Linked DNA regions of Bombyx mori. The protein of the gene in region 1 interacts with the protein of each later gene in a pairwise test. Links are inferred from orthologs where the notes say so. Each region holds a gene or a part of one and is shown on either strand. Other genes may lie near its edges. The genes, in order: geranylgeranyltransferase type I beta subunit and protein farnesyltransferase/geranylgeranyltransferase type-1 subunit alpha.

Region 1 (4,470 bases):
GTCAAACATTCTAAGTCACAGTTCTTTAATACAATGGCTGACACAACTTTCAACCTGCTTGGAGGCAGTAATAGGAAAGGTTTAGGCTACCTACCCATGCGGAATCACAAGACAACCTTTGTTTTTCGAGTAGGGGGCCGAACCTCTTAGGAGGTATCCGCGCCTAGGGTTGCCCCAAGCAGGGTATGCGGGTCTTGACAGCATGCAGATGTTGGGAGCAGACCGCGGGCCCAAGGATATTTTTGGGATCCTACCGCATCAAATGACTCCCCTTGCACTCTTACACCTGACGTCTAATCTCCGCCCGGGGTCAGAACCCGGTCAGAGTAGGTGAGTTCCTGCGGTCAACACAACAACGAGAATCGCGGTCCCACCCCTGACACCCCTGACCGATGGTTCATCGAGGCGATAGTCGACTACCAACCACGCCGATCCGCGCGAAAAAATTGGTACCTGCCTGCCGGATTCGAACACCGGCACATTCACATCGATCGATATGAATGAACCGGACGACTTATCCTTTAGGCCACGACGCCTTTTGTGTTAGTTCCACTTTCGTGTGACTTATTCTTCTAATCTTTTTTCTAAATCAATTTTTTTTGGAGTGAACTGCTCCCCTACTGTTACAACCTCATTTATATATAAGGCAATGAATTCAACAAAGCAATCATTGAAAGATATTAACACAAAAATGTGAAAAATTTGATTGTGTACAATTTGATACATGATTTATTTATAGAAAATTTTGCATCTGCACCAAAATTAAATTAAGACATAATCTCCTTATTATAAATACTTTTAGGTTTCACCTAACACTTCAAGCATCCTGTTGTACAATAAAACTTCTTGAAAACACTAAACTTGTCATAAATTGTATGAATTTTAGAATTGATTTTAGAAAATTAAAATGAATAAATCACTTACTTTCCTTATCAGGATGTACTTGAAGCCTATACAACCATTCAATAATCCTGGATCTCAGATCAAGAGATATTGCTGATATGGATCCTAAGACATCCAGGCCGGCAACAGAGAAATATGCTATTGTAACTCTGAAATGAAGAAAAAATATTTTTCAACACAATTTTCTACCAATCATTCATATTCAGAAATATAAATAAGATGGAACTAAATAAAAGATGGAAAAAAAAAGGAACAAAATTAGAGATTTTCTTTTCAATAAATAATTATTTTCAATAATAGTAGGTTTTTATTTCAGAATATAGAAATCTCATAAAGTTGTTAACTTATAAAGCTTATATTTTATTTAAGCTTATATTTATTTTATTTCATATATTTATTTAAGTATTATTTAAAATGTTAGTAAATCTAGCCTATGGTTGGGATTGGAAAATACTGCGAACCTGGTGGATTAGAGCATTTGTGATGGACATTGCAGATCCATTGTTGCCACATTAACATAGACCATTTATAAATATGCTCATAATATAAACTCACTCATAATATAAATATACTATTATTTTACACTACCCTAATTTAAGATAACATGTAAACATGATAAACAGATAGCTGGTAACAATGGAAACAGAGGTCAATAAAAGGTAAGCTTGTTTTAAAAATAAAATTCCTACGCAAGAAATCATGTCCAGAAATAAGTTTAAGTACATTAATAGTGTTGTTATGTAGTTCAGTTCTGGTAAACATGACACATAAATGCTGTAATTTGGAGACATGAAGTCTAAATATTTGCTAAATACAGCTGAAGAACTGTTTGAACCAGAATCCATGACTATTTGGCAGCTGAACTAATCATGATGGTAAACATTCTTACAGGCTCATGTTACATCCTACATCCAGTGCCGATTTTACAGTGTTGATAATTGTACCAGACTGTATCAAATATATATGTTTCGAGACACAAGCAGTCTTTCCTGTTAAAAGGATGGCTCCAGTATGCTATTTTACCATGTAATTTTATCTCAAAATAAAATAAACTATTATTATATCGAGAGGTGAAAGGCAATTTGGGTTAAGTGATATTTTTGCAACTCTACAGGTGAGTTTAAAATTTGGAAAAAAATATCATAACAAAAAACTTCTTCAGCTATTTGAATGGGGTAAGCTTAATTGATTTCCAATTAAAAACATTGGATTGTTGATAGTAATTTTTATTTAGAGGATGGAAATTGAAAATTAATTTACTAATTTTCTGGTTGAAGTCATACATTGTGTTTTTTTTGTTGTTATATATTGTGCTTTTATTTACACTAAGAATTTTATAAAATCTTGAGTGGTAATATATGTTAAGGAATATTCTTTTGATACGATCTAATGAAAATAAGTAAGCTCAAATAAAACCGGTAATCAGTCGTTCGAAATGTGAAAGTTTTGCAGCCAAGGTGAATATTTCGGTAATTAAAAACACAGGAATCAACTTTCAATTTTTCAACTTTAAAAGCTTACCTTGTAGTATCGTGTGATGATAGAGACGAAGGCAAAATATTCAAAAATCTCATGAAATATTTTACGTGCTGACGATGAGCCATATCCTTGTTTCCTTCGTTATTCATTATTGTACGTTAATGTTTTGGGCTTCTAAGTACAATTTATTATTGTAACTTTAATTAAAATTTATCCTTATTTATAAATATGAATTCGATTCACATATAGAAAATAAGCACACAATTTATCTCATAATTTGTAATAGTTAGTAGAACTGTTTTTAACTTTAATTTAGAAACGACAAAAAATCCAAAAAGTAAACCGACACACAACCTCTCAACTGCTCTGACATATTCTAGCAATGACAATTGCTTAAATATCCAAATATAATCACTATTCCAATGGCTTAATGTCGAAAATAAAAACAAATGAAATTAAACAACAAAGGCTTAAAGTAAAATTAGACTTTAACTGCATACAGTACAGTCGTTTTCCGAGAAACTCAGGCAAAACTATGACGACCAGAATATAAAATTAATTTATGACTATGACTGACTTTTTCTTTATATAAATTGGCAAAAGGAACAAAGCCTATATGAGATACTTTTTTTTTAAGGGATTTTATGACCTGGTTACAAAGACCTTTAAGTCATGTCTTATTTTAGTTTTTAATCTTATTTTTATGAAAAATGATAAAATGGAGTGAAATGCAATGAATATAATTAATTTGAGACATTAATCAACTGGGATGAAATTAAGTGACGAGATGATATGGGATGAAATATAATCTCAGAAAAATGGTGGTCATTTACTGAGATTTTTCAGTGGACTGTTTGGAGGATCCCGAGAAGTTATGTCCAGCGGCTTTGTTTCATTTTCCCACATTTGTGCACTTTCACAGATATTAAACAGTTAATAAACCACCGTTATTACACATTTAAACCTGAAGAAACACTAAATAGACAATATAAAACAAATCACACAACTTCACTCCTCGCCTTCCCGCCAAAAAGTCCATATGAGATACTGAATGATACCACTGAAGTAGGAAATCTATGGAAATGAAACGTCAACCAAAAATTCGTGCCACTGTGACGTCATCTGGCCCCAAAACATGGCGGTTTTAGTGCTGTACAAAAGATTTCAATGCTATCAGGTTTTATCGATAAACGTTCTTGGCTCATTTTATTTTAAATATTGTTGAGTATTATTTATTTGTAGAATTTATACTTTAATGTGAAGTAAGTAGGTATATTGTTATGTGCAAGTATGATATGATTTAGATGGGTGAAATCTAAGACAAGTTCCTCCTTCGAATTTGCCAAGTAAACGATATGATGATTTTTAAAAGTTGCTACACTGATTTTATAAAGTTGTCGTTTGTCGCAAAACATAAAGATATGGCGTAGTACAAAGCCATCTGCCCATTTCTAGCATGCTAAATGTTATCGTATTTTGAGTACGTGTTTTTCTTAGACTATTACAATCTATTTTAATTGTTTTGCTTACTCTAAAGTCCATAACACACTACCGCAGCGCACCCCAAGGAAGGTGCGCCGCACCATTTGAATCACTTTCACTTGAGAGTGATTCAAATTTTAAACTTATCAAGGGACCGCGTGATAAAAAAAAACACCTACAGAACATTTATTCATTATTAAAAACGTCATTCCTTGTGACTTCCTCTCTAAAATAACTTAATTATTAAATATTTAACGAATTTACAATAGTGTTTTACTCACTGCGGAATAAAACTATTTTATTTAAATAGTTCCGAAGAGATTTTGTCGGTAGCCTTTTTCCCGAAATATCTAAACAGAATGTCTAAATATGTTTTGATGACATATTTTAAAGAGGAATTTATGATTAGTGTCATGATCAATAGATTCCGACCGAAAAATGGTGTCCGATTTTTCGGATGAGGGCTCCATAATGAATTTAAATATATATAGATAATAGTTTTGGGGCATCGACTTTCTTGAGATCCTATAAATAACGTTTTAATTATTATTTTTGTATGTTCTTAGCATGATAAATTACGAAATTTTATATAAGCAATCATATTAA
Region 2 (4,422 bases), on another chromosome or scaffold:
AAAAGTTGACTAGTTTTTTTCGGTTTAACGTGAACATTAAATCCGGAAAGGATTTAAATAAAAGCTTCGTGTCGGAAAGCGTATTTTTGTGGTAGGTCCTTTGGGCTGGTACCTACAGATAAGCTATCGACAATACTTATTATACTACGTTGCACATAATTTTAAAATTCAAAACCCTTACCACTGGTGGATTCCTTCGTAAGCATCGATGCCTAGAGCTATTTGTTTAAAATAAATTTTTTGAAGCTTTTAAAAATATATTTGTGATAGTAATTATAATTTTCATTTGAAGCATAGACCTTGGTACCTATTTACGCTACTTTTTGACTCTCGACAAAGAACGACATTTATAGCAAATTTGCCAGTAATAGAAAACATAATATGTTTTGTCCAATAACTAAAAGTCGGCACATGATTGCACAAAACGAAGCCGCAACATTAAATGACTATTATTTTTATGTCTCTGAGTTCATGCCAACTTAGTCCATGGCACCTATCCGTTGAGCTTCTCGCTGGATCTTAGTGGATTTTGGTTCCCTGGTACATCCACATAAGTGGCTACAAATTACAAAAAAAGGTCACAGGCGGGCGCATCACGATGCTCAGCAATGAAAGATCGACTGAAAGAGGAGGAGGAGGAAATCCACTCATAAAGCAGCTGCCAACACAAAGCCCTCTGGTAGTTGTCAAGAAAACCTACACACTTGGCTGAGCCTTTGAGTTCGTTTCATCTTAGTGAAGCTGAAAAGAACTTCGGGCCACTAATCCCACAATGCAAGCAAGGCCAGAAATGGTATTATTGTGGTAAAATGTAAATAGATCTATAATTTAAAGAGCAGTGATGATGGCAAAATCTATAAAACGCCACCTATCATGGTTCCTAATTTGAAGCCTTTGCACCTATTTTGAACATTCCTCTATTTTGTGGATAGTAGCCGAAATATTTATCTGCATGGGACGACCAAAAATATTTATTCAAAAAGGGAATGAACAGGAAGTCACTTGATGAAAGCAACTTGGATTTTTGTGTAGCAACGTTTTTATAAAATAGCAGTTATGTATCCTCTGTTTTAAAATAAAAAAATCTTAATAAGCTTCATTAGACTTTCTTTTTCACTGAAGATTACTTTATCATCAACTTTGAAAACCAAAACCAATGTCCATTTTTTTTATTGCCCTTGTAGGCAGACGAGCATACGGCCCACCTGATCGTGAATGGTTACCGTCGCCCATGGATTAGCAATGCCAGGGGCAGAGAAAAGCCGCTGCCTACCGATACAGCTCTTTGGTTAATTTTACTGTAAGTGCGTCACATGATGAATTCTTAAGACAAAATTTTAATTTTGCGAGTTAAGCCTTAAACTATTGTAAATTGTTATTTCACTAATTAGCTAATGATTCTATTCTTTATGAACACTGTAATATCATGCATTTTGCGGATTCAGTATTTTTTAATAGTCGTTTAAGCTTTATGTTTAATAGACGGCGCATTTCAAATTTAGAAAAATAATATACTGAAACTTGCGTGTTCAGCGACAATACCTTGTATGTAAATGTAAAAATTATGTGTACTTAATGTAACCTATTACCTATGATGTAAATGTAAAAAAAATACCTAACTATTGATTGTTATTTGACATAGTCTGTGTAAATTGTAAAAAGTGTGGACACGTACGTAGGTATTTAAATGTAAACATAAGTCAAATGAATTCAATTTGTAAATACCTAGTCAATAAACAGGGCATTAGTTAAAATTACGTCAATAAATACTAAAGATACGCTTTCGTATTCATAATGTTTCTGGCCTAGATAACTGGTACACATGTTTACTCACGTAAAGCTGTGTTTGTCACGTTTGATAAGAGTACTACTATAAGTGAAAATTGAAGACCGTGAAGACAAGCTTCATTTGTTTAATTTTACGAATTCACTCAGCATGTCTGATTGCGGGGACAGTGATGTTTTATGGATACCATACAAAGAAAGGCCGGAGTGGAGTGATGTTACGCCTGTTCCAGAGGATGACGGTCCCAACCCAGTGGTAGTTATAGCTCATTCGGAAAAATGTATGTGTAATGCCTGTTTTTTTCATTATTATTTCGTAACAAACAAGTTCAAAGTATAAAAATGAATAAATGCATTCGAAGGTTATTGAGTCAGTAATAGTTGGCATGACATATGGTATTGAAAATTAATGCAATACACAAAGGCAAATACCTATTAAGTGAAAGGTTAAATAATTTATTTAAGTTTATTATACATGAATGTGATAGATATATGTATATTTCGCAAATATGAATGTATAGTTCCATCAGTTCCTGCAATTTTACCGATAGAGATCACTGTGTGACTAGTTAAAGAGTGGACAAGTTAGATAGCACTTGATATCGTCTCTTTATGTTAATGTCAACATTCTTTCCAATTTTACCAGTATTACTTGGCTTTCCAGCTTAATCAAAATTCAATTGATTGTTTGTTGTTGCTAAAACAGATTTAAGTTTTATGCATACAGATAAGTGTACATTACCAAGAGTATACAGAGTAGATCGATTAATTTAAAGTTCATTTGTGTATTAATACTTTTCAATTTTAGTTGAGGATGTGTATGATTACTTCCGAGCAGTTTTACAAAGTAATGAAAAGTCAGAACGAGTACTTCATCTTACCAAGGATGCTTTGGAATTAAATCCAGCTAACTACACTGTTTGGCAATACAGGTATTTATTTATCTTCATACATTAAGGTTAACCAATATAGTGTGATTTGCTTGTGGCACAGCAAATTATTTCATTGCTATTATGATACTGAATTACATGGTTAAAGTCCAATTGTTGAGAAGCATGATAGTTGAGTGACATGTGTATATGGTTTTCATACACTTAATAATACTTCTAAGAAAAGGTGACACCAAAAACATTAAGGTTGCAACAAAGGTAAGTTATGAGAGAATTTTCATTGTTCTTATGAAAAACTAAAAACGAATCAAAGCAGCAATTCTAAGAATATATATATATACTTACATATTATTACTATAAAATAGATAATATTCAGTATTGTATTACAATATTTGGAATGCAATATGGAATGAACTCCGCTCCATGGTGTTTTCCGAGTGCTATGACATGTCGTTTTTCAAACGAGGCTTGCGGAGAGCAATGGTAAGCAGCGGCTTGGCTCTCCCCCTGGCATTGCTGACGCCCGTGAGCGACAGTGATCACTTTCCACCAGGTGGGCCGTATGCTCGTCTGCCTACAAAGGCAATAAAAAAAGAAAACATATTTTTATCGTCAATTTTGAAAGAATTAAAAATTAAATTATAAGTTTGTTTTAAATATTTAATGGTTTCGTTACAATGCTGTTTCTCTTATTAATTCTATTTTGTTTACATTATTACTGTATTAACAAATAATCCTGCAAAGTTTAATCTTTATTCATAGTGAAAAATTTTATTCAGAGCCATTTAAAGGTTAATTAAATTAACTAAGTGCGGTGGCAAGTTTTAGTTACAACATAAAGTAATAATACATGATATTTTGTTTTACAGGAGAGATTTGCTGAAACATTTGAACACTGACTTGAGGACAGAATTAGATTATGTTGAAGCGGTTATAAAGAATTCACCAAAGAATTATCAGGTATAATTATTATTAATTTTAATGACTAGTGAAAGATCACACATTTTTACATAATAAATAAAATAATCACCGTAGAAAACTGTTTTTTATAGAACAAGATGTGTGCTTGTGCTCATGACATACCTGGTATTAAATCTGCGCCAAAAACTGAAAGATGAATAAAATGCTAAGAAGCTTAGCTATCTGTGACATATTGCATATTGTCTAAAAAAGTATATTTCGCTGTTACATAAGCACAGAAAAATAGATGTTATTGCTTAATGTGAAATGTTAATACATGTGCTTTTGGCTACCTTATTTAACAATTATATTAATGATTGTAGGCTTTCATTGTTGGAAGTAAAGGTTTAAATGATTACTAAATCATATTAATGCAATGGAGTATTTGCAAGTCAGATATTACGAATATTTCTATAGAGATTGTTTAATTATTCCATCTGTTAATTTTTGTATGCATATTATATGTACAGTATCACACATATAATATTTTTACAAGTTTGCTGCAAAAACTAATTGTAATATCTTAACATGTGTGAAAGATTAGCATACAATTTTTCATGGCTAACATTTTCATGGTTCAATTTTTCATTTTCCATGGTTGACATGGCTTTCAGGTATGGCACCACCGTAGGGTTTTGGTAGAATGGCTGCAAGATCCCACAATGGAACTTGAATTGACAGGCGATGCACTTCTACAAGATCCAAAGAACTATCATGCTTGGCAACATAGGCAATGGGCTATCAAAACATTTGGGTGAGTTGGTGAAATTCTTAACAAACAATATAT

What was found.
Region 2: the proteins of geranylgeranyltransferase type I beta subunit (region 1) and protein farnesyltransferase/geranylgeranyltransferase type-1 subunit alpha interact in binary tests that used the Homo sapiens proteins (3 or more experiments, as listed by UniProt). The link is inferred for Bombyx mori from reciprocal best matches to the Homo sapiens genes PGGT1B and FNTA.

What each region holds. Positions count from the first base shown.
Region 1 is NC_085127.1:5,040,567-5,045,036, reverse strand, and holds the start of geranylgeranyltransferase type I beta subunit, read right to left. Parts: upstream 2,989-4,470; 5' UTR 2,532-2,988; coding exon 2,425-2,531; intron 1,053-2,424; coding exon 925-1,052; intron 1-924. UniProt on the Homo sapiens protein: Catalyzes the transfer of a geranyl-geranyl moiety from geranyl-geranyl pyrophosphate to a cysteine at the fourth position from the C-terminus of proteins having the C-terminal sequence Cys-aliphatic-aliphatic-X.
Region 2 is NC_085129.1:8,199,049-8,203,470, reverse strand, and holds the start of protein farnesyltransferase/geranylgeranyltransferase type-1 subunit alpha, read left to right. Parts: upstream 1-1,405; 5' UTR 1,406-1,936; coding exon 1,937-2,066; intron 2,067-2,593; coding exon 2,594-2,717; intron 2,718-3,544; coding exon 3,545-3,635; intron 3,636-4,249; coding exon 4,250-4,389; intron 4,390-4,422. UniProt on the Homo sapiens protein: Essential subunit of both the farnesyltransferase and the geranylgeranyltransferase complex.